3 linked regions of the Danio rerio genome follow. The protein of the gene in region 3 binds, or shares a complex with, the protein of the main gene of each other region. Links are inferred from orthologs where the notes say so. Each region holds a gene or a part of one and is shown on either strand. Other genes may lie near its edges. The genes, in order: pdgfrb, gab1 and ptpn11b.

Region 1 (11,637 bases), on a different chromosome or scaffold from region 3:
TTTCACCCGAGATGGGTTGCAGCTGGAAGGGCATCTGCTGAGTAAAACATGCAGGATATGTTGGCGGTTCATTCCACTGTGGCGACCCCAGATTAATAATAGGACTAAGTCGAAAAGAAAATGAATGAATGAATTTCCATCAGCCATATGTAGAAGTCAGAGTTGGCTGTGCTTCACCGGCACAGACATTAATCTGAAGCGCAGGACTATTATTGTAAATATTTCTCTGGGTCTGGTCTGTAGATCAAACAGATGTTCAACAGCTGATGCTGCTACACCGAAACAAAAAATGATTCATTGGATTTACCAAAGCTGGCTTAGTGGTTAGCACTGTCGTCTCACAGCAAGAAGGTTGTTGATTCGAGTCTCGGATGGACCAGTTGGCATTTCTGTGTGGAGTTTGCATGTTCTCTCCATGGGTTTCCTCCGGGTGCTCCGGTTTCCCCCACAGTCCAAACACATGCGCTATAGGAGAATTGAATATACTAAATAGTCCGTAGTGTGTGTGTGTGTGTGTGTGTGTGTGTGTGTGTGTGTGTGTGTGTGTGTGAATAAGTGTGTATGGATGTTTCCCAGTATTGGGTTGCAGCCAGAAAGGTGTTCTTTGTAAAACATATGCTAGTTGGTGGTTCATTCCGCTGTGGCGACCCCTGATGAATAAAGGGACCAAGTTGAAGGAAAATGAATGAACGAATTTAACAAAAGATTTTAAGGTAAGTGGTTGCAAACTATTTATATGGGCTGAATTTAAACAAACAGTGTTGAACATTACTAAATTTAACTTGTTTGTTTGATTTCAGCCCGTATAAATCATTTGCAACCACTCACCCTAAAACAGTTGAGTAAATCCAATGAATCATGTTTTTCAGTGTAACGCTGTGGTGCAGAACCTTCATGGCACGGCGTCCTCTAAAAGTCCCGTTACTCATGTGCTTCATTGTTGTGCGTGTGGTGAGGAGTTTCTGTGCTGTTCTTCAGGAACGCTCTGTTATTAGTCAGGCGTGTGAGTAAGACGTGAGTGTGTGCTGGATCTGTGATAGAGGGACGGACCGAGCACTGCGTCACCAGCTGTTTCCTGAGCCCCTCATCTGGTTCGCATACCAGTCCCGGGAAAAATCTGCTCCCCATTAGCAGCGGATGAGCGGAGCTCGCGAACAGGGTCCGGCTGAGACCCCTGAGAGCCCACGGGAATCACCAAACACACAGCGTTTGGTTTCTTAAAGCTGTCTTGAGCTTTTCAATTAACTTCTTCATTGATTATATACAGTTGAAGTCAGAATTATTAGCCCCCCTGCTTTTTTCCCCCAAAAATTTCTGTTTACCAGAGAGATTTTGTTTCATGACATTTCTAATCATAATAGTTTTAATAACTCATTTCTAATAACTATTATTTTATCTTTGCCATGATGACAGCACATAATATTAGACTAGATATTTTTCAAAATACTAGTATTCAGCTTAAAGTGAAATTTAAAGTCTTAAGTAGGGTAATTAGGGTAATTAGGCAAGCCATTGTATAACAGTGGTTTGTTCTGTAGACAATCATAAACAGTATTGTTTAAGCTGACTAATAATATTGACCTTAAAATAGATTTTAAAAATATATAATAAAATCATGAATATAAACAACCAGATTCTGGAATTCTCTCAGCCTTTAAATGCTGCGTTTTACGACACAAACACACACACAACTACTAGAGAAAAGCCAGCGAGAGTTTCAATGACAGCAGAAGAGCTCAAACAAAATCACTCTGTATCTCTATAAAAATATTGCGCATTTCTGAATGTCCCTCGCACTGGTGAGTGGGGTTGACAAACCATCTGTCGAAACACTCTTTTCTCCAATTCCACCACTTAAACTTTACCTTACAAGCACTCAGTGAGGTTTACCAGTAAATTTACTACAAATCCTGTTGCACTGCTTACTTATTCAACCTTAAAATATCTCCTCTGCACAATATTATTCTGTTTTGCATAAATTGCTTGTATAGTTAGTCTTATTTATAAATAAGTATTTATAGTATATGTATAGTTAGATTACCAGTCTGGTATGTTAGTTATTTAGATTTAATAGATTATATAGATTCTGGAATTCTTTAAATGCTGTGTTTTACGACACAAACACAACTACTAGAGAAAAGGCAGCGAGAGTTTCAATGACAGCAGAAGAGCTCAAACAAACCACCACAACAGCACGTTACAATGCCTCACAAGAAAACACACATCTGTAAAGCCTCTGCAGTGTTGACGAGAGTGTTAAAGGTGTTCAAACACTGACTGTAAGGCGCAGATCTGTTTGCTCTCGGCACATTCTCGGTCAAATGCAACACATTTAACACACAAATAAACAGCAGAGATCAATGCTTCACCAACAAAAGCTGAACAAAAAATGCTTCAAATTCTTTAAGATGGGATAAATCTTTCTTTAAAAAAAACTAAACATCGCAGGCAACATCTGGATGAAATACACATTACACAGCCAAACTGAATACACCCCTATTAAAGTTTACATTTAATCGATTTCTCATTAAATATAGACCATAAATGTACATACAATCACTCTGTATCTCTATAAAAACATTGCGCATTTCTGAATGTCCCTCACACTGGTGAGTGGGTTCGACAAACCACCTGTGGAAACACTCTTTTATCCAATTCCACCACTTAAACTCTATCCTACAAGCACTCAATAAGGTTTACATGTGAATTTACCGCAAATCATGTCGCACTGCTTACTTTTTCAACCTTAAACTATCCCTTCTGCACAATATTATTCTGTTTTGCATTAAGTGCTTGTATAGTTTGTCTTAGATTACGTGTATAGTTAAGTATCTAAAGTATATGTATATTTTGTATAGTTAGATTACCAGTCTGGTATGTTAGTTATTTAGATTTAATGGATTATATAGATTCTGGAATTCTTTAAATGTTGTGTTTTTATGACACAAACACAACTACTAGAGAAAAGGCAGCGAGAGTTTCAATGAGAACAGAAGAGCTCAAACAAACCACCACAACAGCACGTTACAATGCCTCACAAGAAAACACACATCTGTAAAGCCTCTCCAGTGTTGACGAGAGTGTTAAAGGTGTTCAAACACTGACTGTAAGGCGCAGATCTGTTTGCTCTCGGCACATTCTCGATCAAATGCAACACGTTTAACACACAAATAAACAGCAGAGATCAATGCTTCACCAACAAAAGCTGAACAAAAAATGCTTCAAATTCTTTAAGATGGGATAAATCTTTGTTTAAAAAAATCTAAACATCGCAGGCAACATCTGGATGAAATAAACAGTACACAGCCAAACTGAATACACCCCTAATAAAGTTTACATTTGATCGATTTCTCATTAAATATAGACAATAAATGTACATACAATCACTCTGTATCTCTATAAAAACATTGCGCATTTCTGAATGTCCCTCACACTGGTGAGTGGGTTCGACAAACCACCTGTGGAAACACTCTTTTATCCAATTCCACCACTTAAACTCTATCCTACAAGCACTCAATAAGGTTTACATGTGAATTTACCGCAAATCATGTCGCACTGCTTACTTTTTCAACCTTAAACTATCCCTTCTGCACAATATTATTCTGTTTTGCATTAAGTGCTTGTACAGTTTGTCTTAGATTACGTGTATAGTTAAGTATCTAAAGTATATGTATAGATTGTACAGTTAGATTACCAGTCTGGTTTGTTAGTTATTTAGATTTTATAGATTATATAGATTCTGGAATTCTTTAAATGTTGTGTTTTACGACACAAACACAACTACTAAAGAAAAGGCAGCGAGAGTTTCAATGAGAACAGAAGAGCTCAAACAAACCACCACAACAGCACGTTACAATGCCTCACAAGAAAACACACATCTGTAAAGCCTCTGCAGTGAAGACGAGGGTGTGTAAAGGTGTTCAAACTGACTGTAAGGCGCAGATCTGTTTGCTCTCGGCACATTCTCGGTCAAATGCAACACGTTTAACACACAAATAAACAGAAGAGATCGATGCTAAACAAACAAAAGCTGAACAAAAAAATGCTTCAAATTCTTTAAGACAGGATAAATCTTTCTTTAAAAAAATCTAAACATCTGAGCCAACATCTGGATGAAACACACATTACACAGCCAAAATGAATACACCCCTATTAAAAATTGTATACCCTCCATTACTCAGTGAATTTAGACAATAAATGTACATTCAATCACTCTGTATCTCTATAAAAAACATTGTGCATTTCTCAGTGTCACAACAAACAAACTACCTGTAGAAACACTATTTTCTCCATTATCACCACATAAACTATCTTACAAGAACTCAATAAGGTTTACCTGTGAATTTACCACAGTCATGTCAAACTGCTTACTTTTTCAACCTTAAAATATCTCTTTTGCACAATATTTTTTCTGTTTTACATAAGATACTTGTATAGTTTGTATAGTATTTATACAAAAAAAGTGTTGCATGCAGAACTGTTGCAAATAATTTATTTGTGCTGAATTTAAACAAATTAAGTTTAATAATGTTCAACTAAATTTGTTTGTTTAAATTCAGCCCAAATAAATTGTTTACAACCACTTAACGTAAAACATTTGAGTAAATCCAAAGAGTCATCTTTGAATAAAGTTTTTCATTGTATATATATTCCCAGAGATGGGTTGCGGCTGGAAGGGCATCCGCTGTGTAAAAACTTGCTGGATAAGTTGGCGGTTCACTCTGCTGTGGCGACCCCGGATTAATAAAGGGACTAAGTTTATATATAAACAGATGAAGTCAGAATTATTAGCCCCCTTTAATTTTTTTCTTTTGTAAATATTTCCCAAATGAAGTTTAACAGAGCAAGGAAATTTACACAGTATGTCTGATAATATTTTTTCTTCCGGAGAAAGTCCTATTTGTTTTATTTCGGCTAGAATAAGAGAAGTTTAAAATTTTTTATGAACCATTTTAAGGTCAAAATTATTAGCCTCTTTAAGCTATTTTTCCCTATAGTCTACAGAACAAACCATCATTATACAATAACTTGCCTAATTACCCTAGTTAACCTTATTAATCTAGTTAAGCCTTTAAATGTCACTTTAAGCTGTATAGAAGTGTCTTAAAAAAACACACATACTGTACTACTCTAAAGCATCCTACAGACCAGGGGTGTCCACACTCAGTCCTAAAGGGCCAATGTCCTGGACAGTTTAGCTCCAACCCTAATCAAACACACCCGAACCAGCTAACCAAGCTCTTACTAGGTATACTAGGCAAGGCAAGGCAAGTTTATTTATATAGCACATTTCATACACAATGGCAATTCAAAGTGCTTTACATAAACAAGAATAAAAGAAACAAGTAAAATAAAAATAAAAACAAATAATAAAAATGCGTAAAAACAAAACAAAGCATAAAAACAGGTAAAATGTGATATGAAAGAATTAAGTCTCTTCTGCACAATATTGCACAATATTATTGCACAACTAGAAACTTTCAGGCAGGTTTGTTGAAGCAAGTTGGAGCTAAAGTCAGCAGGACAAGCTCAACTTTGGACACCCCTGCTATAGACCATTTCAATGTGGTCATGTCATTGGTCCATGAACATTTAATAACTGTAACAAGAGGCAATTCCATCATAACATAATGTTAAAACAGCTATCATAACATTAGTTACCAATATGTGGCTCTTTTTGGACTCTCGGAAGCTGAATTAAAAATGTACAAAAGGAAATACGTTGGGACCACTGTGTTTGTTTACACCCATGAAAATGGTCTATATACAGTTAAAAGATAGATGTGTGAGGGGTGAGCTCAAATATGCTGAACACTGTACAAACACCCAAAGAGTTACGACAAGTTCAATCTAACTCCTCTAAATTTCACATCATTGCTTTCACTGTTTAAACCTGGAACTCGTTCACTGAGAAAATAAACTAAAAACATCATGGAGTAAAACTCTCGGTTCAAAAACTGTAGGAGAGTAAAGTCCCATCTCTTACCTTGACGTTTGGATTTAAAGCATGTCTAGGAAAAGCCTCTTCTTGCTAACTTCTCTCCTCGTCTGCGTCTCTGTACGTGTGAGCAACAGTGTCCAATTCTCTGGCGTTTAGTAGTGGTCTCTCGTACAGCTGCGAGAGGGAGGGATGGAGCTAAAGCTGCAGTCTCCGGGGTCCCAGACGGAGAGGAGGCTGGCCAGCAGATCTGTTTGTTTAGTCAAATGACCACAGCAGGGTTCACTCACTGGCTAGTAAACCCAACATCCCTGCCTGCAAAGGTATAGCACAGACTAAAGCTTAAAGGGATAGTTCACCAAAACAATTTACTCACTATTTACTCTCCCTCATTTGATTTTCTGTATTGTGTTGAAGACTAAAGAAGATACTTTGAAGAATGCTAAAAACCGGTAACCATTGACTTTTACAGTTGAAAAAAACAAATACTATGGAAGTCAATGGTTACAGGTTTGCAACATTTTTCAAACTATCTTCTTTTGTGTTTAGCAGAAGAAACTTATAGGGAAAAAAAAGCTTTGGAAGTCAATGGTTACAGGTTTGCAACATTTTTCAAACTATCGTCTTTTGTTTTGAGCAGAAGAAACTTATAGGAAAACAAAATGCTTTGGAAGTCAATGGTTACAGGCTTCCAACATTTTTCAAACTATCTTCTTTAGTGTTTAGCAGGAGAAACTTATAGGAAAACAAAATGCTTTGGAAGTCAATGGTTACAGGTTTGCAACATTTTTCAAACTATCCTCTTTTGTTTATAGCAGGTTGGAAATGAGTAAAAGTTTGAAATGAGTAAAGTTTCACTAGTTAGTTCACAAAAATAAACATTTACTCATTATTTTCTAATCCTCAAATGATTATAAACTTTTATGATTTTCTCTCTTTTGTTGAAGAATGCTGAAAACCGGTAACAAATGACTTCCATTGTTGAAAAAAATAGTATGGAAGTTAATAGTTACAGGTTTCCAACATTTTTTAAACTATCTTCTTTTGTGTTTATAGCAGGTTTGGAATGAGTAAAAGTTTTCATTAGTTAGTTCACCAAAAAATGAACATTTACTCATTATTTTCTTACCCTCGAGTGGCTATAAAGCTTTATAAGTTTCTTTTGAACACAAAAGAAGATATTTTGAAGAATGTTAAAACTCACTCACTAGTAAAAACAACATCCCTACCCTCGAAAGTATATCACAGACTAAACTTTTAAGGATAGGTCACCCCAAAATGAAGAAAACCTCACTATTTACTCAGCCTCAGGTGGATTTTTGATTTTCTTTAGTGTGTTGCAAGTAGATATTTTTAGCAATGATGATAACCGGTAACCATTGACTTCTACTGTAGAAAAACCAAATACTTTTGAAGCCAATGGTCACAGGTTTGCAACATTTTTTCAAAATATCTTCTTTTGTGTTTAGCAGAAGAAACTTATAGGAAAACAAAATGCAGTGGAAGTCAATGGTTACAGGTTTGCAACATTTTTCAAACTATCCTCTTTTGTTAATAGCAGGTTTGAAATGAGTAAAGATTTGAAATGAGTAAAGTTTCACTAGTTAGTTCACAAAAATGAACATTTACTCATTATTTTCTCACCCTCAAATGATTATAAACTTTCATAATTTTCTTCCTTTTGTAGAAGAATGCTGAAAACCGGTTACCATTGACATCCATAGTTGGAAAACCAATTACTGTGAAAGCCAATAGTTACAGGTTTCCAACATTTTTCAAAATATCTTCTTTTGTGTTTATTGCAGGTTTGAAATGTGTAAAGGTTTGAAAAGAGATAAGCTTCACTAGTTAGCTCACCCAGAAATGAACATTTACTCACTATTTTCTCACCCTCAAGTGGTTAAAAAGCTTTTTAAGTTTCTTTCTTCTGTTGAACACCAAGGAAGATATTTTGAAAAATGCTGAAAACTCACTCACTAGTAACACCAACATCCGTAACTGCAAAAGTATAGCACAGGCTAAACCTTAAAGGGATAGTTCACCCTAAAATGAAAATGTACTCCCCATTTACTCATCCATTACTCAAGTGAATTTTAGATTTTTCTTTGTGTTGAATAGTGAAGTAGATATTTTGAAGAATGATCAAAACCAGTAACCGTTGACCTCTAAAGTAGGAAAAAAACAAGTACTATGAAAGTCAAATTGACATCATAAGACTTTTCATTTTAGTATGCTGATGTATTAAAAACTGAAACTGAATATTGAGTAGGGGGCGGGGCTTTCTTTTGCACAACATTCCCTCACAGCAAACTAACGGTAAGAGAGGTGGGGCTAAAAATATTATGGCTTAAGCGTCAAACTGACATCATTAGACTTATTTGAGTGTGTTGATGCGTGTCAAACTGAAACTGAATATTGAGTAGGGGGCGGTGCTTTCTTTTGTGCAACACTCCTTCATAGCAAGCTAATTGTAAGAGGGGCATGGCTAAGAATATTGTGGCTTAAGCATCAGACTGACATCATCACTTTACATTTCAGTATGTTGATGTATTTCAAACTGAAACTGAATATTGAGTGGGGGGGATGAGCTTTCTCTTGCACATCATTTCCTCATAGCAAACTATTTGTAAGAGGGGCGTGGCTAAGAATATTGTGCATCAAGCATCAAACTGCTATCATCAGACTTATTTTAGGAGTTTGATGTATTTCAAACTGAAACTGTATATTGAGTATGGGGCGGGGCTTTCTTTTGAACAACATTCCATCACAGCAAACTAACGGTAAGATGGGCGTGGCTGAGAATATTGTGGCTTAAGCGTCAAACTGACATCATCAGACTTTACATTTCAGTATGTTGATTTGTTCAAACTAAAACAGAATATTGAGTAGGGGGCGGAGCTTGTTTTTTGTCCACTATTCCCTCATAGCAAACTAATGGTGAGAGGGGCGTGGCTAAGAATATTGTGGGTTAAGCATCAAACTGACATCATCAGACTTTTCATTTCAGTATGTTGATGTATTTCAAACTAAAACTAAATATTGAGTAGGGGGCGGAGCTTTGTTTTTGTGCATCATTCCCTCACAGCAAACTAACAGTAAGATGGGCGTGGCTAAGAATATTGTGGCTTAAGCGTCAAACTGACATCATCAGACTTTACATTTCAGTATGATGATGCGTTTCAAACTAAAACAGAATATTGAGCAGGGGGCGGAGCTTTGTTTTTGTGCATGATTCCCTCATAGCAAACTAACGGTAAGATGGGCGTGGCTAAGAATTTTGTGGCTTAAGCGTCAAACTGACATCATCAGACCTTTCATTTCAGTATGTTGATGTATTTCAAACTAAAACTAAATATTGAGTAGGGGGCGGAGCTTTGTTTTTGTGCACTATTCCCTCATAGCAAACTTATGGTAAGATGGGCGTGGCTAAGAATATTGTGGCTTTAGCATCAAACTGACATCATCAGACTTTTCATTTCAGTATGTTGTTGCGTTTCAAACTAAAACTGAATATTGAGTAGGGGCGGAGCTTTGTTTTTGTACACTATTCCCTCATAGCAAACTAATGGTAAGATGGGGTGGCTAATAATATTGTGGCTTTAGCATCAAACTGACATCATCAGACTTTTCATTTCAGTATGTTGTTGCGTTTCAAACTAAAACTGAATATTGAGTAGGGGGCGGAGCTTTGTTTTTGTGCACTATTCCCTCATAGCAAACTAATGGTGAGAGGGGCGTGGCTAAGAATATTGTGGCTTTAGCGTCAAACTGACATCATCAGACTTTTCATTTCAATATGTTGTTGCGTTTCAAACTAAAACTGAATATTGAGTAGGGGGCGGAGCTTTGTTTTTGTGCACCATTCCCTCAAAGCAAACTAACAGTAAGAGGGGTGTGGCTAGGAATATTGTGACTGAACCACCAAACTGACATCATCAGTGAAGGACCACCCCTCCAAACGCAGAAGCAAATGCTCAGAATTTGATGAATTTGATACTTAAACTACCTTTTTGCAGTGGATAAACTTAAATTCATAGTTTACCTAAAGAATAACAATGTGTGCTAGCAAAATAAACATTGCAAATTTTAATTACACAGACTAAGTGTAAAAAATATATATATATTGACACTTGATTAACTAATTAAAATGAGTCAAAGTAGCACGTTCTGAAAGTTGTGTTGTCATTTTTTTGTGTATCAGTTTCATTAAAAGAATCAGAAGGAAATAACCACCCTGCAAGCATTGACATTTTCCTGAAAACAACATATCAGTACCGTGTGCAGATCCGTCGTCCAGGGGTGTTTTGGTGGACCTGAAGAAACACAAAACAACATGAAATCCCGGCCAGAACTCCTCAGCAACAGTCGCCTGTTTCTGTATTCGCTGAAAACACGAGCCGCAGGGAAATGAGATGGATTTTGGCAGCCCTCACAATGAAAGTGCCCATGCAGCTGAAGAGGAGAAAAGAAGAAGAAGAAACAAAAACGAGGAGAGAAAGTTCTTTTCAGCGCTAAACGAGCTCTCTGTGCAGACGGCGTTCGCTGCCAAACTGGGGAAAAATGGAAAATGCAATGGAATAAAGTGCGGTCTGGGGTGAAGGGAAGGTGTGTCAATAATAGCGGCGCAGGGTGCTGAGAGCTCACGCATACACTTAAACACAAAGTATGAGGGTCTGTTTTCAATCCCGGCTTTTCTGCTCTCTCTCTCTTTTTCCAGGCAGCAAGCAGAGTGCCTTGCAAATTCATAACAACGTCCAACAGCTGAGTAAGACCTTTCTCTTTATTACAGGGAGAGAGAGAGAGAGAGAGGTTGTTGGCATTCGCCTTGTAATTGTGCGAGTGAACACAAAACGTCCAGATCAACAGAGACTCATTAGAGGCCTTGAACAGACACACACAGGAGCCACAACAACAGGCTACACACTCTAAAATAGTGCAGGAATAAAAAGTTCTGTGCCAAAGAATTACAATGCTGGCTTGTCACAAGCAGTTTGTTATTGTACATTCCTTTCCTTGGTTTAGGCTTTTTTTCTGCTCATGATGTCGAAATGAAAATATCGAATTAGTATTAGTGCTGGGAAAGAAATAATCGTGATTAATCACGTCCACAATACAAGTTTGTTTTGACATATTTAAGTGTGTGCACTGGGAATATATACAGTTGAAGTCAGTTTTGATTTATTTCTTCTTTTTTAAATATTTCCCAAATTATTTTTAACAGAGCAAGGAAATTTTCACAGTATGTCTGATAATATTTTTTCTTCTGGAAAAAGTCTAATTTGTTGTACTTCGGCTAGAATAAAAACAGTTATTAATTTTTTTAAAAACATTTTTGGGACAAAATTATTAGCCTCTTTAAGCTATTTTTTGTTTTGATAGTCTACAGAACAAACCATCATTATACAATAACTTGCCTAATTACCCTAACCTGCGTAGTTCACCTAATTAACCTAGTTAAGCCTTTAAATGTCACTTTAAGCTGCATAGAAGTCTTGAAAAATATCCAGTAAAATATTATTTACTGTCATCATGGCAAAGATAAAATAAATCAGGTATTAGAAATAAGTTTTTAAAACTATTATGCTTAGAAATGTGCTGTAACAATCTTCCCTCCATTAAACAGAAATTGGGGAAAAAAATAAACAGGGGCGCAAATAATTCAGGGGGGCTAATAATTCTGACTTCAACTGTATGTATAT
Region 2 (10,994 bases), on a different chromosome or scaffold from region 3:
TGTTTAGATCAATAGTGCTGTCCCAGCTGGCTGCTGATGTTTCGGCCTGCTTGTGCAACTTTCAGCACGTCCCCTTTTTTGTCTTGGACCAGATTGAAATTCCCCTCGCAGGTCTGGCCATCAAAGAGGTCTTTGACTAAGGCACAATGGGGACAGAGGTGACCGCTCCAGGCTAACGGCACAGACAGGCTCCCTCATACCCAGAGCTCTGAATCTGTGGACAAAAGCTTCTTTCATTTGTGAGGTCACATGCTAACGATTAAAAGGCAAAGGCCACTGAAACCGTGCTGTGGACTAGTTCGCTAAAGATCTGAGTTTTGGGATCTGATCAGCAGTTTTTGATGCGGTTTTATAAGCATGGGCCGGCACCTGTTAGTAGGAAAGGTTGTAATGAAAGCAATGGAATTAGTACTTGTTAAGTTGCTGCGCTGAAGTGATGCAAGCACACAAATTTCTCTTAACAGAAAAGATAAAAACAAACCTCAGGGCTCACCTTTACGGTCAGGTTTGAGGTTGCGGTCTATGGGTGGAGGTTGGCATTCAGATATAGGAATCGGTCTACGGGGTGGTGTCTTGGGACTGGACCTGAAGCCCATGTGGGCTGGAGGGGGCACCTGTTTTCCAAGGGAAGAGAACTCCACTGTGCCTGGTGTCATGGGGACGTAGTTGGGCTCCTGTATAGGTTCTGATAGGCTGCCGGAGCGCTGATGTGACAAAGAGTGGACGCTCATGGGAACATAGTTTTCATCCATTTCCTCTGTAGAAACACCTCCTACTGGCACCATGCCTTTATTTTTCTACATGCATACAAAAACAGACACAGGTTAGAAATATTTGAGACACTTGAAAGAAAGGGTAAAAATGAGCACTGGGATATTCAGTGCTCAGCATATACAAGTACACCCCTCAGAAATCTATCTTTTAAACTCATATTTTTAATAGGAAGCTATATTATATTTGTGCATATACATTATATTAGTCAGTACTGAAGCATAATCTGGAGCTTATCTAACAAAATAAATTACCAAAATGGTCCAAAAACAAGTTCACCCAAATTTATATGATATAGAAAAATATTAAATACAAATTCAGAAAAAGAGGAGAAATCAATAGAAGCGAAAAAATTGAAAAAAATTAGTTGAAATTTTGTAGGTTGTAATTTTTTTTTTTTTTTGCAATATTTTGCTTGAATTTAATTGTATTATCTTTTAATTTCTAAATGTTTGGTGACTGAAATATTATTGTAATAAATACATCTGTTTAATAAATCTGTTTTGTTTAAATGCACCAAAATATGTTGCTTATATTCACTAAGAAATGGATACAAGTATTCATTTTCAAAATGGGGTGTACTCAATTATGTAGAGCACTGTATAAAGATAAAGCTTAATAAGATAGAAAACTTACAAAATAGTTGTTGAAACTTTCATTAAAATCAAACGAGCAACTTTTTTCTGAAGGGAAGGGCCGGGGTATATCATAGCAATCTTGAGATCCGTAATCTGTGGAGAAAAGAAATGCAAAAAGATAATATTTAATGTGTTATTATATTTTTAACTCTGTTACTGCTCTGATTGAATGTTCAGATGTGATTACTCCAAGCATGTCACGTCACATGATCCTTCAGAAATGTGAGGAAGGGAGTGCATGTAAACAATCTCTCAAACTCTCACAATACCATCACACAACACTAGAGGGACCCCCTCGCGACTACAGGATTTCACCACAAACAGCTTGATGATAGAATTGTCAATCAGAAAAAAATAGATACAGAGCAGACCTTAGTATTCATAACTCTTTAGAATCATTTAATTTATTTTACAGAACTACACCAGCTCTCTACCACATCATTCTGCTACCTGCTTGATGCATTGAATATGTCCCACAAAAATTAAATATTATTATTAATAACTTTTATCAGCCTTTTTTCCAGTCCATCCCTTGTATAAAGTGCTATAGAAATGAATGTAATTTGTTTGAACTCAGATGTTTAAGGTTAGTCTTTGTATGATCAATATTGAAAACAGAAGCTTGCTTAACAATAGTTGTTGTAGGCTTTGTGATACATCTTCTTATAATACTTTTGTAACACTGCAAATGTCCTTACTGTCAATCAGTTTAGTGCGTCATTGCTTCTTAATCAAAGTGACACTACCTGACATGCAGCAGACTACCAGCACTGAATACCATTCTTCCCAAGATTGCAAGGACGCCATCTGCAAATCCCTCCAGTTTTAAAACTGGAACCAGCAAATGTTTTGTTCTTCGACAAAATAAGTAAACAGAGAATCCTATTCTTTTTCAATCTGTGTCTTCAATAAAGCTTATTTGACAAAAAATGTTGTGTTCAAACTATTGGGGTAATGACACAACAAACTGATGGCCATTGCTGGGAACTGTATTTTTTCAGTGTTTTCCATATGTTTGCTCTAGTTGATTTCACATCTGCAACAGTTTGCCGATTCATCATGCTGAATAAGCCTCAGGGCCATCAGCGAGGCAAATCACTCAGATTAGCTATTCAGTTTACGAGAATTAAAATGACAGTAATGAAAATTCCACAGACAGTATGCTGTTCTTGTGTTGTGTCATCATACCTGAGCATTCCAACATGCAAATATTTTCATTATTTCATGGTGTTTGTAATGAAGAGAGTGACCAACATAATTGATATTAAAAACCATAAGCAAGTGCTGCTTTGTTCACCATTTGCATTTATGCAATTCTCCTTTTGGTTTCTCTTTTCAGATGAGGAATACTGATTACTAATACCTGCTGATAAAGACAATCAATTCCTTACATGTACGGGCATAACACATGTCTTTGAAATGTGTTTACAGAATGCCATTTTGCCCAGATGCAATCAATGCACAAAATTCTTTAAGGGGTAGTTCAGCCAAATATTTGAGTTCTGTTTTTAATTGTTTACCATCATGTCATCTCATGCCCTGAATCCTTTATTCATTTTCATAACACAAATAAAGATTTTTTTTTATTTAATTCAAGAGCTTCCTCATGCATAGACAACAACATTACTAAGATGTTCAAAGTTCATAAAAAGGACCAAAAACAGTCAAAATATTTTCATGTCCATTTAGTGGCTCAACTGTAATCATACCAAGCTCCAAAAACACTTTTGTTTCACAAAAAACAAAACAAATCTAAATATACCTTTGTTGGCCGATGTTTTTCATTTAAAAAATGTACTATAGGTAATATATGTGCTTGCATGTCATGTAGTTGACAATGTTTGGGTTTCCTTTTTTTACTGGATTTTGACTCTCTCTGGACCATTTCTGTCTATAGAGGATGAGGGAGCTCATCAACAATATCTTAAAGAGCACCTATTTTACCCCTTTTTTTCAAGATTGAATATCTAATAAGTATTTTGTACTTTTTTTGTACTGTCTGTAAAGTTTTAGATTAAACTGCAGATCAGTTTATTTATTCTACCTTTCTGAATCTGGAAAATTTGAGCTTTTAGGTCACTGTAGTTGTTTTTGTTGCCTGTGCATTTAATGCAAATGAGCTAGTTCTCCCCGCCCACCGTTCCCGCATGCACCTCAGAGCCATAGAGATCTTTCTGTATAGCTCTGCATGTAGCCTTCACCTGCTGCAACTCATGTCAGATAAACAGCACAGTGACAGACAAGAATGGGAAATATGACAGTAAGGACTTATGGTTATTTGATGCATTTGTTGTGGAGTTAATTAAAGATTTTCTGGAACAGTAAGTCACACAATGGCGCAAGCATGCACACATGCTAACATGTTTAACTTTGCACTGTTTTGCACAGCAAATATGACAGGATAGACGTTAATATGCACTGCTGTATGGACATCCATAAAAATGTATAAAATGATATGATGTATAAAATAAACCTGAGTTAAGTCCACAAAATAGGATTGAAGCATCTTCTTTTATAATCAGACTGACACTATGCTGCTGTGGTGATGAATTACAGCAATTTTACTGTGTTTTCTTTATTACAAACATGCACCGTTTTAAAAACGTTTCAAACTTGTAAAACTCACTCTTGAGGTACAGATGATCACAGAGAGCTGAACAGATCTTTTACCAGTTGCTTTGCGCAAGACCTGTCTTGTTAATATAATTATATGCGTATAGCGGAGATATGTTAATATGCGGCTGTCAATCTATTTGGTGGGGAGGGAAAACCGTACTCCTACATCACATTGCGGTGGGCCTCAAAATGGGAGGGATTTGGATCCTATCTTAACGTCAGAATATTTAAAAAAAAAAAAGAGACTTATTGTCTTTATATCACCCCAATATGACTGTGGACACATTATACCTGCACACAGCTCTGTCTAAGCTTACAAAAGTTGATATTCATCATAGGTGCCCTTTAAAGTGTGTTTCGAAGATAAACAAAATGTCAAATGAGAATTCGACCAACATGAGAGAGAATAATTACTTAATTTTATACGTTTATTTTATTCTTTGACTTTGGCTTGGTGTGACACCCATTGTGAAACTTACCTGTCTTAATAACTAAACGTTAAGCTAACTGCTCTTATGCTTAAAAAAAATGAAGGTTAAAATAGCACACATGACTGAAATACATAATATTTTCTTACCTTTACGCAGACGTGAAGAATCCACCGTACCAATGGTGTTGCTTCTGAGTGCTTTGTTGCCTCCTGCACTTGTCGGAACACAGTAATTCGTATCAGTCTCAGACACTGACCGCGGTACCACATAAGTGTCTGTAGGCGATCGCTCAGGGGGGACTGATCCCCCACTCACTGAAGGCTTTGGTGGACGTGGTGGTGGAATTACCTCTGTGGACCCTGAAACAGCCTCCACTCCTGCTGTTCGGGGAACCTGGTAGGTGGAATTGCTGCCAGGTGTAGGTGGAATATCATAGCTAACTGACAAGTTCCGCAAATGGGCCTCTAATGAGGGTTTCCGACCAGGTGTGTTAAAGACATAGAGTTCACCAGGTTCACCGTCAGGAATGGGAGGGGAGGTCGCCGACTTCGGCAGCAGCACAGTGTCCTGAGAGTAACTTCGGGGCAGGTGGTACAGGCCCTGTGAGTCGGCCGACAATGACTGCCCGCGCAAAGGAGGAGAATCGTAGAGCCCAGTGGGATGTTGGGTGGAAAAGAAACCATTGACCGGGGCGTTTTTGGAGGTGGAGGAGGTGGGTGTGTAGTGGGAAGGAAGGTTGTCATTACAGTCAGGTTCAGAGGAGGTAGACTTGGAGCAGTCGCCATGAGCCCTGCAAAGAAACCAAAGTATGAGATGCAGATTGTCAGTTAACTTTTCAATGCAAAATGTATTTAATAATGCAAATGAAGAGCAATTAAACTGTATAAAATACACTGTAATGTTCATGTTCTAAAACTAGTCATGTCATCATGCTTTTTTGCATTACAAATTAGTCTTAAATACAAAAATATAGAAAGTTTATTATTTAATAATTAACTGGCACTTAAAAGTTAATATACACTCAGTATGTCATTAGTGTGTGGTAATTGATTGCTGAAGTGGTTTATTTTGCAATAATTGTTCATTACAGATGCATTCAATTGTTTAGTACTAATTTAAAACTATAATGTGTTTTAATTGCCATGATGAAATGATAAGTATTGCCTTGATGAAACAATGTGTTTCTCTAATCCTCAGAGAGAACTGACACACTTCCTGTTGTAGATGCAATTGTAACAGTGTAGTTTTGTCGCAAAAAGTGAAAAATTACTTATTAACTTTAAAAAAAGGAAATCAGTACCTATAATATCCAGAAAAGGACTTAAACCAAGTAAAACAAAGCCTGGAAAGATTAAAAACTTGTCAATACCCAAGATTGAGTAATTCACGTTCCTTTATTTATTCATGCAGCCACTAAACCTTACTATTATACCAAAGTAATACTAATGCTAGAAAAGAAAAACTACTGAATGCACATTAAATCAATAAATAGATTATTTGAAAATCATTGACAGCTATGACATTAGAACAAAACAAGTGTGTCATGAGAGAAATAAAGTATCTACACTGTGAGATTGGCTGTCTGGGATGATGGTCAAATATAAATAACAATCAATACACAATATTGACCACAGATGGCGACAATTAAGGCTCTGGAGTCCAGTATACTTTAGGTGAAACTGAAGAATTAAATGGTTTGAAAAAACAAAAACAAAAGAAAAAACATAAATTTAGCTTTAGTTGGTAAACATCTTCAAACTATTATTGTGCTCCAGGGCTCTGTCTTCTATGATTTGGAAATCTGTTCCAATTTCTTTACTTTTAAGCCCATACAAGTTAAGTGATACATCTAAAAAAATACAGAGAACAGTCACTTTACAGAAGAAACTGAAGTGTAATTCTAAATGAAAGCAATATTAACACTGCATTGTCATGATAAAATCTGTCCAGATGCATGCTTTACAGTAATCTTCTGTTTAAAGTGCTACATAAATATTCTTAAAGTGTCTTTAGTTGACTAAAGTGACAAATCCACAACAATATGATCAGATGCTTTTTTTAATGTTCTTATTACTGTCATTTGCAGTTATTTTGTTATGGAGAGATGAGTGACACATACAGTGCATCCGGCAAGTATACATAGCGCTTTGCTTTTTCCACATTTTTTTGTTACAGTCTCATTCCAAAATGGGTTAAATTCATTTATTTCCTCAAAATTCTACACACAATACCCCATAATGACAAAGTGAAAAAAGATGGAAGCCACTCCCCACCTGGAATTTGCCAAAAGGCATCTAAAGGACTCCCAGACCATAAGAAACAAAATTCTCTGGTGTAAGGAGACTAAATTTGAACTCTTTGGCGTGAATGCCAGGTGTTACGTTTGGAGAAAACCAGGCACCGCTCATCATCAGGCTAATACCATCCCTGCAGTTAAGCATGGTGGTGGTGGCATCATGCTGTGGGGATGTTTTTCAGCTGCAGGTACTGGAAGACTAGTCAGGATAGAGGGAAAGATGCGTGCAGCAATGTACCGAGACATCCTGAATGAAAACTTGCTTCTGAGTGGTCTTGACCTCAGACTAGGGAATCGGTTCATCTTACAGCAAGACAATGACCCAAAGCACACCGCCAAATTAAAAATGGAGTGGCTTCATGACAACTTTGTGAATGTCCTTGAGTGGCCCAGCCAGAGCGCAAAATTAAATCCAATTGAACATCTCTGGAGAGATCTGAAAATGGCTGTACAGTACACTGTCGCTTCCCATCCAACCTGATAGAGCTTGAGAGGTACTGCATAGAGGAATGGGCAAAAATCCCTAAAGACAGGTGTGCCAAGCTTGTGGCATCATATTCAAAAAGACTTGAGGCTGTAATTGCTGCCAAAGGTGCATCAACAAAGTACTGAGCAAAGACTGTGAATACTTATGTACATGTGATTCTTCAGGTCTTTAAATTTTAATTAAATTTGCAACAATTTCAAAAAATCTTTTTTTCACATTGTCATTTTGGGGTATTGTATGTAGAATTTTGAGGAAATAAATTAATTTAATTTATTTTGGAATAAGGCTGTAACACAATAAATTGTGTAAATAGAGAAGCACTACGAATACTTTCCGAATGTACTGTATTTACATAATAACTCAGTATAATTTAATTCACTTTAAAGGTACACCAAGTTAGTTTCAACTCTTCATGAACATCCAGGGAAAAAAAATAACATTGCTGATAGTATTTCAGGGCATTTAACTAATCGTTATAAAGTGTTACAACCAGGTTAGTGTCAAACCCAACCATGCATGTCACAATTCACACAAATCCCAATTAAAACTGTGCATTCACAGTTTTAGATACACAATGCAAAACAAAAACTAAGTAAAGTATTTATTTTAGGAAGTTACTGAAAAAAGGTATGCACACATTCAGGTAAAAACAACAGTGTCAGACTATTGGCCAAATGTGTGTGCGGTTTAGTACTGAATTTTCACACTGATGCTCTTCACTCACTGACTGTCATGAGCAGCGCTCCGGCTCTCACACTCCTCCAAAAGCAGGTATTCCTGCTCCTCCTCCCCTAGACAAAGAGGAGCAACTAGACTACACCACACACAAATACACACAATGAGCCCCTTATTTCCAGATCTTTACTCATCATACCTGAACGTACTCAAAGCTTTCAGTAGAGGTGGGCGGTTTTTTACATTACATAACGCTGATACTGATATACACTGATATAAATACAACAGACTCAAAAAGGGAACAATCCTATATAACAAACTGTTGGATAAAACAATGCATTCCAATGGCAACTAATTTAGTGGCTAATTTGTATGATCTCATTTAGGGCTGCACGATACATCGCTTCAGCATCAAAATCGCGATGTGCGCATCCGCAATAGTCACATTGCAGGAGGAGCGATGCAAAGCAAAAAAAATAATAATAACAATAATATATATATATAACTGCCATATTATTTTATTTATTGTAAAGTTAATTGTTGGTAATTATTAAAACAAGTTTATCTTATCCACAATTGTTTTATAACATGTTTATTTTTTTTTAAACCACTCAGGGGGTTATTGTTTAGCTGTTTTTATATTTTTACAATTTTGTGACGAGATATTTCCTTCTGTTTTTTAATTGTTGTAATAAAAAAGTTTGTAATTGTTAAAAAGTTAAATAACTTATTTTGTCACTCGTGTTAATTCCTAAATGTGATAATAAAGTGTCATCTTTACATTCACCAAATGAGCTTACCTTTATCACAGTAAAAGCAACATTTAGTATTAATATCATAACATATTAGATCCTTGATTTATCTGAATTGACAGTTAAGTCATATTTTTTATAAACAACCCAAAAGAAAGTGTTTTTACTTATTAATTTTTATATTCTATGAAAATGCTTAAAAAATTACCCAAATTATTATAGAATTAATGATTATTTAATTTTTGAGCAGTTCAAAACTCCCGATTCTGAATTTTTAAAATATCGCAATATATATCGCAGGGAAAACAAATATCGCAATGTCAATTTTTTCCGATATCGTGCAGCCTTAATCTCATTCATATATTTTAGTACGATTTTCCCATCTCCCAGAGAGGGGTAGTGGTGGGTTTTTGTGCCCATGCCTCCTGTTAAAAATCATATATATTCATAAGAACGAAATTGCATGAACTTTTTCGAGTTGACCATTTTTTTTAACAATATGCACAAAAGTTACATTTGCTCGTGAGATGTTGATGGATGAGCCATCTTTTAAAATAGCCAATAAATGGGTCCCTCTTTATTCGAGGGAGTTATGTTCTAAAAATAACCCACAATAGGCAAAATCCTTGAAATAGTCTGCTTTATTTTTACAATTATTATAGATGTTTTAAGGCTGTAAAACTTCTCATAACATACTTCATACACTTTTCTCAGACAGGCATTAACCTTTTCACACTTTTAGCTCTTGTTTAAACACTCACAAAGTTCAAACCTTCGTAGAAAAATAAGTCCAGTGTTATAAAATGTAACCAAATATTTGATTGATCATTTATTTATTTTCTCTAATGACACCCTACAGCAGTGTAACTTCTACCTTCCTTTAGCATGTCCAGAAGTTCTACTTTTTGTGGAATGGTTAGCATCTTCCTCTGCCTTTTACAGTAAAGCACTTTAGAGTAACATTGCTAGCGATCGAAGATGTATGTAAATTTGGCAAGCTGAACGCATTCTGTACTGTACAGAAAACACAGCATTAAGGAAATTGATTGAAAACTTTCTACAGCCAATCAGGGCACAGAACACTATCAGGGCGCAGAACACAATACAATGTAGAAAAATAGCATGTCGAATTGCACAAAAAAATGGTGAAACTGCGAGGCTGCGAAAAGTGAACCGTTATGCCAAAGGATGTCTGTATACACATCTGTAGCTATGTTTCCATCCAAAGATGCAAAATAAAACTATGCGCAAGATTAGAATATTACATAAAAAGAGTTGAGATTAAAGAAGCACTTCCATCCCATGAGTCAAAGAGAACAAAATAGTCACGTCCTGATAAACTGGTGCCAAATATCAAAAAGAACAACGGAATTTGCTGAGGTACAGAATAAATCGCTTGTGCTTGAGAGGACAATGCCAACACGACGATCTTGACAGTTCTGGAGGCAACTAATACTATAACAATAATACTGAAATAGTTACAGCATACTAGAATGACCAAAACAACATGTCAGATGTTTTACAATGTTGTCAGCATGCTCAGTTGTCCATTAATGCATCCCATCACATGCATTCTCATCATCACATGAAGTCTTAAAACAAAATCACATCACTTTTTTAAAATGAATGTATTCTGTAAAAGTGTTTCCATCGTAGTTTATGTGCATTTTTTATTGAATTAAACGTTTATTGTATTAATCGTATTATTTATCGAATTTGTTTTCATAGCTTATCGTATTATTTTTTTATGCGCATCATCAAAGTTTATATGCATCTTGGCATTTTAATCAAGCATTTGTTAATGCAATAATCCAAAATGTGCACAAAAATAAGTGTATGGAGACATAGCTTGGGATTTACCTGTTAGGCTCAGGTTTTTTGCTCTCACAGTTGAGCAGCCAAAGGTAGTCCTGAGGCTCATCTAGACTGGAGGATGATCCCAGCTGTCTGATGCTAACGGGCTGGTAGGGAGGAGGCAGGTTGGCTAATGCAGACGCCCCTAAAGCTCCGCCCAGCCCTCCACTAGGGGCCATATCCACGACCAGACCGCCTGGCACATTAACATGATGAGAGACCTTTGCAGAGTCTGTAGAAAGAACAGTGGGGTTAGAGAGGTTAACATAAAAGCTTCACACTTTATGAGATCACGAGCTTCGAGACACATTTAAGATTAGATCAAACTAAGGGCTACACTGCTTATTCAAAAGCTTTTACTGAAACCGTTCCTGTGTAAAACAAATTACTATTGTGAAAGTGTCTTTAAAGGATGACTTCTGGTAAGCTAAGAGCACTTGGAAAAAAAGAACTATAAATTGTGAAAATTAAATT
Region 3 (10,994 bases):
AATGTTAACAAAGATGAATAAATACTGCAATAAATGTATTGTTCATTGTTTGACCATTTTAGCAAATGCATTATCTAACACTAGCTAATACATCCTTATTGTAAAGTGTTTCTGTTTGACTTTGACTGTACTGTAGCATGTAATTTATATATATATGTATCTCCATCACATTATTTTGATTGAAAATGTAGTGTTCAAGCACCTGCTCCTCTTCTAGTCTCTTCTGAGCAGTATCAATGTATTGCTGAACAGCCATGTAGATGAACTTGTACTGGGCTTCAGTCTGAACCATACCGGACCGCTGCTGTCGCACTCTCTGAATCGTTTTTGGGATGTCAATGTCACAGTCCAGCCCTTAGAGAAGCAGTTCAGCTGTGTTAAATGTAATCAATGACAGACAAAAAAGACACCACTGGGATAATTCTGTATGAAATGCTTACCTTGTCTATTTATGATGTCGATAAGAATGTCAATCACGATAATTGTGCCTGTTCTTCCAATCCCTGCACTAGAATGACAGCAACAGTGGGACATTTACATTGTGGAGCACAGCTTTTAAATTCAGTACACCCCTCTTTGAAAATTTATATTTTTGTCCATTTCTTAGTGAATAAAGCTAATAATTTTGTTGCATTTAAACAAAACAGTTTAATTATACAGTTATACCTGTTAAAAAATGGGGGGGGGGGGGTCACCTTACATCTTCACGAATAGAAAGATAATACATTTAAATTCAAATAAAATAATAATAATAATAAAATAAAAAGAATTTACAAATTAGAAAACAAAAACTACATTACATATATTTTTAAGTTTCTCTTGATTTTTCCTTTTTAAATAAAAATTTGCTTAACATTTTCCCCAACATATTAATTTGGGTGTACTAATTTTTGGACTGTGACCTTCCTTTTTTAGATTAGTTCCATTTTTTTTACTTTTGTACTAACTAGTCTAATGTTTTTGCACATATAATATATTATTGAATATGAGATTATTAACTATATGAGTATAAAGTATCAATATCAAGTATCACTGATATTAGTATAAAGTATATGAAATTAAAAGAGAGATTTGTGCGGGACGTACTCATTTATGCACAGAACTGTACACATTATAAGGATTTCAGTACTGTAATTCTTTATCGTAGTTTTTCTTTTAACCCTTCATAGGGCACTCATTGAAAAACTCTTCAGAAAAAACATGATAAGTTACTTTGGTTTGGGAAATTACTTTTGTGACTTAAAACAAAATTATGATTATATTCCAATCAATGTCAGTGAAGTTACCTGGTTTCATGATTAATAAAGGGTTAAAGGAAAACTTCAGTCCATTTTTTTCACCTTGGTGTTTTACTAATGTCTAATGTTACACTTTTTTTTCACAATGCAAAATGAGTGTTTTTTCTTTAATGTATTTTGATTTGGCTCATCCACTGTACATAACGAGAGTGTATAGAAACCAACATCAAGCTTTTATGATTCCATGCAAGGTGAAGTTTCTAAGTGTTCTGGAAACATACAATGAGTTTAGGTGAAAAACAACCCAACATTTACTTTATTATCTAATTCTAATCGTTGCTGCTGGTCTTCTACGGGACTGCTCTCATAAGACACCACTGAATATGCTAGTGTTAGCTCAAGCAGAGTTGTTTCAGAAGCATTTTCACTATATATTTTCTCTAATATAAATTCATAAAGTCTTGGTTAAAATTTAATAATTCATGAAACAGTCTTAAATTTAAAGAAAAAAATTATGCATATTTATATTTTTATGTAAATTAATTGGGATATGAATGCAATTGTTACTGCCGTTACGATAAGGCACTAGAAAGTGAAAAGACTTTAGCAGAAATACCAGCCTGATCTCACGAGGAAACTTAATTATCTTACGTTTTGTCAGGTTAGTGGCTAATTCGTACAAATTTGTACGAGTTCAGTCGTACGAAAATTTACTATTTTAAAAAAGAAGGCGTGGCACCCAACCCCACCCCTAACCCCAACCGTCATTGGGTGATGAGCAAATCGTAGTAAATTGTACGCATTAGATCGTACAAATTTATACCAATTAGCCACTAAATTAAAAAGTTACGAATTTCCGTGAGATTGCATTAGAAATACCCAGATATAAGTCATTAATGGCATAGGCTGTAAAAGGTTAATGAGGAGCCAAACAGTCATTCATTTATATTTGTTTTTGCACCAAGCACTATAATTTACCCTAGAACACTTGGAATATTCCGCACTAGGGTTGACCAGCAGTCCTGCATTTCTGGCAGTCCAAAATTATATATTTTTTGTGACCTATTTTTTCTTTCCTTAAAAACACCACAGTAAAATGACCACATTTATCTTGGTTTTTATATATAGTGTGTCATATGTAAGTTACAGTAGACAAAATATCCAACCATAATATTTATAGAGAGATTTTTTTTCCTCACTGATGATAACTGTGTGGACAAAGCAAAGCAACAAGTGTAAATTAAATAAAATAAATACATTTAGCTCAGTTTTTAAATACATATGTGTAACTGTCATGTGTAGGTTACAGGAGAAAAAATATCCAACCATAATATTCATAGAGAGATTTTTTCCTCACTGATGATGACTGCATGGACAAACCAAAGCAACCAGTGTGAATTAAAAGTAAGCAGCAGCAACTGCCAACCAAACGTCCTGTTCAAAGCTTCCTGAACGAACATGAAATACAAGTTCAATATGCACTAAATCCAGTTTGTCTAGCCTAACAAAGAAACTGTCACTGCATATATGATCTGTTATAGTCACTTCATTATATTTTACCACATTGTATAACTCCAAGCAGAGCAGGTTCAGTACCTGTTGAAAGCGACATCTAATGTCATTGTAAAACAGGCTTGAATAGTTCAATTCATTTAAATCAATATTTATGTAATCTAATATTAGTGAATGTATATCTCTTGTGACCTGCATTGTCCTGGAAAATTCCCACAGCAGATCAGTAACCAGGTGATTACCCTATACGGCATGTTACGTGATAGCAGCTAAGACACAAAGGTTTCACAGAATAATGTGTATAGCAGAAAAATATCCAACCATCTGATGATACAGATGATGAAACTGCTAGGATGATGAAACAGAGTGTGCACACTTTTGTGAGGTGCAGCGGCACTAGAGGCTGCTTTTATGGTTGGCAGATTGGCAGGACTGTTTAGGATTGTTGCTTAAATATAACTGTGAAAGTATTCTGCAGAAGAAAGTCCATTTAAATTTTCTTTTATTCATTAAATTCTAAGTTTGTGGTTCACTTTCCTCTGGAGTTATTGCCATTTGCATGCATTTGAACTGGATGGCACACGGCAGTCACATGAGATTTATTTTTCTGATAAAATTATTATTATAGAGATATATTCAAAGAAGAAACCATGTATAATCCATACAGTGATGTACCTGTACAACATTTATTTTACAAATGGGCGATGGCAAGTTTTGACTTATGATATTGGGATATTTTTGATTGGCCATCAGGCTAGTTTTGGGGTATTTTGGATGGGCATTGGGTTTTATTGCAAAAACCTGGCAACCCTGATACCCACCTTCCTAGTATGTGCTATTACTAATGTGGCTATTGCGCCGGCTAGACCGACCACAAAGGTGAACATATAGTGCAGCAGACAGCTGAAAATAAATACCAATGACGGAAGTGACAGAGTGAATAAGAATCTAAAGATTTTTTTTTTGTATTTTTTGGTTTTCAGTCATTGATAGTGTTTTAAAATCAAATGTTTGAAGCATAATTTAGATTTAATTACATCAGAAAAAACATCTATTCTAGTGTTTATTTGAGTATGACCTTTAAATAAACTAATGGGTTTTTAAAATAGCTACATTTTTAAGGCAAATGAATGAATGGAGTTTTCAGAAAATGAATAAATGAATGAATGGACTTTTCATTAGAATTCTCTTTTTGTGTTTGGCAAAAGAAACTAATAGCATAAATAGCATATAGCATTTGAAGGACATCACAGGGAATAAGTATTGGATTTTTTTATGGGGGAAGGGGGGAGAACTGTGCCTTTAAGACCACATTTAGCAAAATAATTAAATAAATCTAAGTAGAACGTGTGAGCTGTGTAGTACCTGCAGTGAACCACTATGGGTCCGCTCTCTGGAATGGCGCTCTGGGTTCGGTTCACTTGCTCCAGGAAGCTCAACACTCCTCCAGGTTCATTTGGAACACCGTGATCAGGCCAACTCAGGTACTGATAGTGCCAGATACACCTGGGAGGCTCTCTCTGTAATTACAAAAAGTATTTATGTATGCATGTATGTATGTATGTATGTATGTATGTATGTATGTATGTATGTATGTATGTATGTATATATGTATGTATATATGTATGTATGTATTTATTTATTTATTTATTTATGCCATATCAGCAGTATGTCTATGTCAACATTGGAATTGAATATTAAGTTTATAATTTACAATCATAACTGTTTCTAAACAAACATGCATTATATAAAAACATATAGATATCACACTGATTAAAAGTCATGAGAGTTCTTTCATTTTGACCAATGATAAATAGGGTAAAATAGAAAAAGGAGACATCTTTTTAAAAGTTTCCCTTAAAAAAACGTTCTCTAATATAACTTGAAAATATACAGTACCTTCTATTAAAACATGTTTTATGGTCTAAATATTCGTACACAGGTCACAAATAGGTTTCTCTTCCCCTTTCAATGAATATGAATGAGTAAGTCCTGAGTGAATTACAAAAAAAAAAAAAAAAGAAACATCAAATGATAATTTACAAAATGAGAAAAACTACATCCAACCTAGATTAGTAATGTAAAGTAATACAGGTTTGAAGTAAGTGAGAAGATTCTCTCCAAGCTGCTACTGTAAACAACAAGGTCAAAGGTTATGAACTGCCTCTGGCTGCAGCATGTCATCTGTCATCGCATTGCTCTTACCCTGTCTAGACGTGTGACTTCAAGCTCTCGCCGTATGTAGTCCTGAGCTGTGTGTTCCTCAATGTTCTTCACACACACCTTCCCAAACTCCTTTGTTGAATTCAAGTCTGGCCAGTACCGCACACATTTATTCTATAGGGAGAAGTTCAATGTTTAGTTCCCAAAAAAAAATCTGTGTTGTCTATTTAGCTATACAACATTAGTGGATTCTCAATTTTCTCAAATTATGCATTAGAAATTTTTGGTATATAAGAAGAATCACATTTTTGTTCAAAATAATAATCATGTTTCATCCACGATTCTGAATTGACAAATTAAAGGAAAAGTTAAAAAGTTCCCAAATAGATCCCAAAATTTTAATTTTGCCATTATTTAGTCATCCTCCATTTTTCTGATGAACACAAGAGAATCTATAATAAAAAATGTTGGAAAACACAACAATTGACTTTCATAGTGTTTTTTGTTCCTACTATAGATGTCAATGGTTGCTTTTTTGCAAAATTCTTCATAATATCTTGCTTTGTGTTTAACAGAAAAAAAGAAATTCATTAAAGTTCATAATCAATTAAGTACGAGTAAATAAGGAGGAAACTTAATTTTTTTGGTGGACTTCAACAAAATGACATGTAATATACTAGAGATTTGGACACAATGTTAATTTAATTAATTCCCATCGGTTTGAAAGGTTGATTTAATCACTGGCTTATATAGACCTCACTTGTTTCATTACTGGATGAATCAGCCCTTTTGAATGACTCTCTTGAATAAATAAGTCAATGACAAATGCATTTTTAATAGTAACTTATCACCACCTTTTGGCGTAACACTGTAATTGATAAACATTATTTATAAAATAGTGTTACTTTAAAAAATATGAATGTCTATTTTGCTGTGCAATATTCAATAGTGGTTACATCAAAACTTTAATCCCAATACTTCTGCAATAATTTGACTAATAATCATACCATAAGGTTGAAGAGACCAAAGACTGACGCTGTTTCATAATTTTATGCCAACTGGGATTGCACTCGTCAGATGTTTAATAAATAAAACCAAATCATTGTGGCTGGAATATATAATTGTATGGGTAATTGAATCAAGATTGTCATCATTTAGCAGTTTTATGGTCAGTGTATTTAAAACTGATATGAATTCTGAATGAATTTCTCCCCCCAAAAATATAAATTACTTTTATTATCACAAATAATTAAGGAAATATAATTAAGAGCATAAAAAATATTTTTTTTTATAACAAATTGTTTATTTTCTTATATTCTATGTATCCCATGACAAACAATATAACATAATATGACAAAAAATAAAATAAAATAATATAATATAATATAATATAATATAATATAATATAATATAAAATAATATAATATAATATAATATAATATAATATAATATAATATAATATAATATAATATAATATAATATAATATAAATATAAATGTATTAATGAACGATCGAATGAATGAATGAATGAATGAATGAATGAATGAATGAATGTACAATATTTTCATCCTGGACCTTACCCGTCCTCTCTCCATCTCCTTGGTTGTCATGACAATAACATGTGTATTTTCCTGATAAACCATTTTCCAGAAGTCCAGGACTGTGTTCTGAAGGCAGCCCTGAGTAGCGATGAACACTTTACCTTCATCCATATGACGTCCTTCTTCATTCACGCTCTAAATGAAAAAAGAACAAAATCAATAAGGATAAAAAGAACATGCAATCTCTAAACTTATTGATCACAGCTCAACAACCCAGCAAAAGCTTGACATTCAGATTGACGTGTAATCATTACGAGCGAAGCGGGGTCTTACTCGGATATAGTTAGCGTTGATGTAATCGGATCCGGGAACATCAGGATCCGCTTCCTTGATCTGCACTCGAGTGGTGTCAACTGCAACCCAGAAAATGATGATCAAAGCATGAACAAGAGCCCTGGAGATTAACCGTTGCATTATGAAACATGCCTCTCCCATTAAGAAACCAGAAAAATACAGCACGTTACTCACATGGTAGTATATTCTTATATCTGTTCTTGTTTTTATTTTCTGGTCTCTGCCCCTCTTTCCTGGGGTAAAGGAGTTTACATTCTTGTTGCTGTAAAACCTGCAGAACCACAGGAGACAAAATAAAAGACAGTCAGGATGAAATGTGGATCCATGTTTAGATTTAATGTTTAGTTATAAAATGTCTGTTAATTAACAGATTCTGTATTTTGCAATTCACAAGCGTTCTCTGCTTATTTGCGACTATGAATTTGCATTATGGGACCTTTATCTTTCGCCCGTGAACCTTTGATATTAAAAATTCAACTGTGCAGTTCATCAAATTGACTTTTATTGACATTTTAGCAGTTTGAAACAATATATTGTATAATAAATAATACATAGAGATCTAGCAACTTTTTAACATAAAATGCTGTTGGAGGAAAGATCAAGGTCCCATAATGCAATTCAAAAGCATAAATAAATGAAAAGATGACAGTGTTTGATGGATAATAACTGTTTCATCCAATAAATGTGTGTGATATAATTAGGTTTAAACCAGCTCTGCAAAAGTTGCAAAAGAAGTAAAATGTAAATAAAATATATTTTAAATCATGCAACTCATATATGATGGTGGTGCTCTTTTCTCATTTAAACAATTTGTGGACACATTTTCTTTTCTAGTCCCCCTAACTAAAAAGTATTTATTTTTTTTAGTGAAATGCCTGACTTTATTATACCTGGCCCTAAAGCTCCTTTAGATTTTTCATATTGACAACACAAACTTTTTTTGTCGACCAAAATCTTCTCAATTCCAAGTCAAACAAAGACATCCGGTATCTCATATCTTTTTACTTGTGTAATTAAAAAAAAAATCATCATTTGTGACACACTGTAGAATGGGAAAAGTTTTGGTTTCTTCCACATAAATTCTTCTCATCTTATAAAGTTGGTGAAGTCTCTTTTAAAATTATTCAGAATTGCTAAATGGTAAATTACAAACTTGCTATTTAATAATAGTATTTTCCACAAAAGTTCTTTTTTTATCTTCAGTCGAAGATTCAGTCGAAACATTAAGTAATTCATTTTGCAAGTGCATGTATTGCAAAGTTTTGGCTTGACTTTTCAATTTATTCATTCTTCATTCATTCATTCATTCATTCATTCATTCATTCATTCATTCATTCATTCATTCATTCATTCATTTTCTTTTTGGCTTAGTCCCTTTATTAATCTGCAGTTGCCACAGCGGAATGAACGGCCAACTTATCCAGTATATGTTTTACACAGTGGATGCCCTTCCAGCTGAAACCCATTACTGGGAAACCCATACACTTTTTTGCACACATACATACACATTAGCATACACATTAGCCATACAGAAATGCCAACTGACCCGGCTGAGGCTGACCCGGCCGAGGCTGAACCAGCGACCTTCTTGATGTGAGGCGACAGCACTACCTACTGCACCACTTGACTTTTCAATTTTGTTGACAAATACTTATATCCAGACTTACATACAGCCCCCAAATTATTACTTTTTGGTTACTCTTTGTATCTAGACCCTTCTTACTATAATTGTATAGCTTTTTGCATCCATTAAATGCAACGTTTCAAACACAATCCTTTACTTTTTATTTTCAGGAAAGACTTTGATATGCATGTCAACTCTTTTAAGAAAGTCTAATTATTTTATTGCTTGTTGTAAGTCTTATATCTTACAGGTAAATTAGGTAGGCTAAATTGTCCATAGTGTATGAATGTGTGTGTGTATGATGGCTGGAAGGGCATCCGCTGCATAAAAATGTGCTGGATAAGTTGGCAGTTCATTCCGCTGTGGCGACCCCAGATTAATAAAGGGACTAAGCCGACAAGAAAATGAATGAATGAATAAATGATGCGATTTCAGTTATGTAACCCTCCTTATCTGTGTGTTCCTAACTTTGCAAAAGTTTTTTCTTTGCTTAATGATAAAAAGAAGACCATAATAATAATAATAATAATAATAATAATAATAATAATAATAATAATAATAATACACAGTAGTCTGCTTGTAAAGCTTTATTATTGTGATAATATTGTGAATACATATTCACGTTATACCTATATTTTACATCTTTTGATTAAGTTATACATTAAAACCAGAAATTATTCATGCAACATATAAATATTTTTATATTTATTTTTACTAGTGGGTGCATGTAACTATAGTTAAATTAACATTTACAATTGAGGTTCCTAAAATAAAGTAAACTGTGACATATTATACCCCAAAACTGTTCATAAGGTGGACTAAAAACCAACATGAACTTACGAAACTGCTGCAGAAAATAATGAAGTTGAGATTTGCATGAAGCTGACTGAAAGCAGAGACTACAGGCTGGCATTGTGTCAAAATGTGGAAAAAACACTTGATAATTGTGCAAATATTGTCAGACTACAAATGCATTATCCTGAATAATTTTTGTTGATTGGTAAAAATAACATTATGTAATGGTTATCTTAGCCAAAGTTAAGTTGATTATTGCAATTAGTCAGTTCTAAAACAGTTTAAACTAAACTACAGGGAATAAACTGTGATAATGTGAGAATGTCCTTGAATCATTTTTGGTTTCACTGTAACTTGGGTGTACAAGAGTGAGCTTGCCAAAAGAAGATATTCTGAAAAATGCTGTTAGCTTGAACCCATTGACTTTCATAGTAAATGTTTTCCAACTATGGAAGTCAATGGTTACTGGTTTTCAGCTTTCTTTGGAATATCTTCTTTCATATTCAACAGAAACATACAAAGGTTTAAAAACCACATGAGGGAGAGTAAATGATGAGGTAATTTCCATTTTTTGGGTGAACTACCCCCTTTAAAATCACATACATCCAAATTTTGCTGTGTAATGAGAATGTCAGCACCCCCTACAGGAATGTCCCGTTTATCTGGACAGCTTCCACCCTACAGGAACTGCGGTTTAAGAGGTCAGCTAGCAGAGAGGCTTTCTATAAACAACTCTCATATCAAACAGCGGAAAATCCAATCTATTCCCAAACAAAAACCTGGACTGAATCACCACATCCCATGACTGTAACAGAAAATATGAGCAGACAAATGCACAAGGCCAGAAATACCTCAAATTCTTCCCAGAAGCCTTGCTTGGGTTTCTCGGAGTTGTCGGCAACTTTATTTAGTTCGTGTACCCTGTTCTCAATGTTTGCAGCATTTATCCTCGTGGCATTGAATGGCTTGAATATGATAAGAAGAGAGAGCAAAAATTAAAAAAATGTAACTTTAAAAAATGAAAATGTGGCATTTAAGTAATAAAAATTAAGTAAGGCAAAACACACTTTAAGTTAAACACTTTGTTGTAAAACTGAATATATATCACTATGCTTAAGGATTCATAATATAAAACGATACAGTATGCATTTACAGTATGTTTGGGTATTTTTAGTTTCTAATTAAGGCTGTAATTAGTACTTTTACTCCACTACATTCCTTCAACCTGCAGTCACTTTTTTATTATTTCCTGTTGCTGTGGATTAGAAAAATCAGTCCTGTGATTCCTGTCTAATCAAATCGCACATAAAAGGTAAATTGCATCATAACAAACTACCTCAAGACATGGGCGATTTATAATTGCAGCAAACTGTTTGCAAGCATCAAAAGGGTCCAAGAAGATGTCCAAAATCTTTACACGCATTGACCCAGAGACTGTTTAGATGCATGTCACTGATGAGAAGATGACAGATGTTTACTGTATGATGATCGAAATAGCCTTAAACACCCAGCTGGCACAAGACGTCAAAATGACATTAGATTGACGTTGTACCCCAACGTCGTGGAGACGTTACATTTTGTTTGGAATTGAAAATCGGGTTGACGTCAGAACTCAAAGTCAGACCGATGCCAATGTCCAACATACAACCAAAAATCAACCAAATATCAACGCCAAATGATGTTACTGTCACGGTATGGGGGTGATGAAGAGGAGGCGAGGACCCAAATGCAGGGAATGAAGAGTTTAATGAAAAATAAAACAAAAAC

What was found.
Region 1: the proteins of ptpn11b (region 3) and pdgfrb are in contact, whole or in part, in a crystal structure (PDB 1AYA), measured with the Mus musculus proteins. The link is inferred for Danio rerio from reciprocal best matches to the Homo sapiens genes PTPN11 and PDGFRB. Residues at the interface, in NP_001103462.1 of Mus musculus: Gly13, Val14, Glu17, Arg32, Pro33, Ser34, Lys35, Ser36, Thr42, Thr52, His53, Ile54, Lys55, Leu65, Gly68, Gln87, Leu88, Lys89, Glu90, Lys91, Gly93, Ile96; in NP_032835.2 of Mus musculus: Ser1005, Val1006, Leu1007, Tyr1008, Thr1009, Ala1010, Val1011, Gln1012, Pro1013.
Region 2: the proteins of ptpn11b (region 3) and gab1 are in contact, whole or in part, in a crystal structure (PDB 4QSY), measured with the Homo sapiens proteins. The link is inferred for Danio rerio from reciprocal best matches to the Homo sapiens genes PTPN11 and GAB1. Residues at the interface, in NP_002825.3 of Homo sapiens: Gly13, Val14, Glu17, Arg32, Pro33, Ser34, Lys35, Ser36, Thr42, Arg47, Thr52, His53, Ile54, Lys55, Leu65, Gly67, Gly68, Tyr81, Gln87, Leu88, Lys89, Glu90, Lys91, Ile96; in NP_002030.2 of Homo sapiens: Lys623, Val625, Glu626, Tyr627, Leu628, Asp629, Leu630, Asp631, Leu632, Asp633.

The regions. Positions count from the first base shown.
Region 1 is NC_133189.1:3,755,025-3,766,661, forward strand, and holds the start of pdgfrb (platelet-derived growth factor receptor beta), read right to left. Parts: upstream 6,071-11,637; 5' UTR 5,987-6,070; intron 1-5,986. UniProt on the Homo sapiens protein: Tyrosine-protein kinase that acts as a cell-surface receptor for homodimeric PDGFB and PDGFD and for heterodimers formed by PDGFA and PDGFB, and plays an essential role in the regulation of embryonic development, cell proliferation, survival, differentiation, chemotaxis and migration.
Region 2 is NC_133176.1:38,714,234-38,725,227, reverse strand, and holds part of gab1 (GRB2-associated-binding protein 1), read right to left. Parts: intron 10,753-10,994; coding exon 10,527-10,752; intron 8,054-10,526; coding exon of another isoform or gene 7,964-8,053; intron 5,247-7,963; coding exon 4,603-5,246; intron 1,503-4,602; coding exon 1,408-1,502; intron 798-1,407; coding exon 494-797; intron 1-493. UniProt on the Homo sapiens protein: Adapter protein that plays a role in intracellular signaling cascades triggered by activated receptor-type kinases. Plays a role in FGFR1 signaling. Probably involved in signaling by the epidermal growth factor receptor (EGFR) and the insulin receptor (INSR).
Region 3 is NC_133198.1:26,917,148-26,928,141, reverse strand, and holds part of ptpn11b (tyrosine-protein phosphatase non-receptor type 11b), read right to left. Parts: intron 10,193-10,994; coding exon 10,079-10,192; intron 7,080-10,078; coding exon 6,983-7,079; intron 6,868-6,982; coding exon 6,788-6,867; intron 6,650-6,787; coding exon 6,494-6,649; intron 5,088-6,493; coding exon 4,956-5,087; intron 4,271-4,955; coding exon 4,116-4,270; intron 509-4,115; coding exon 441-508; intron 355-440; coding exon 203-354; intron 1-202. UniProt on the Homo sapiens protein: Acts downstream of various receptor and cytoplasmic protein tyrosine kinases to participate in the signal transduction from the cell surface to the nucleus. Positively regulates MAPK signal transduction pathway. Dephosphorylates GAB1, ARHGAP35 and EGFR.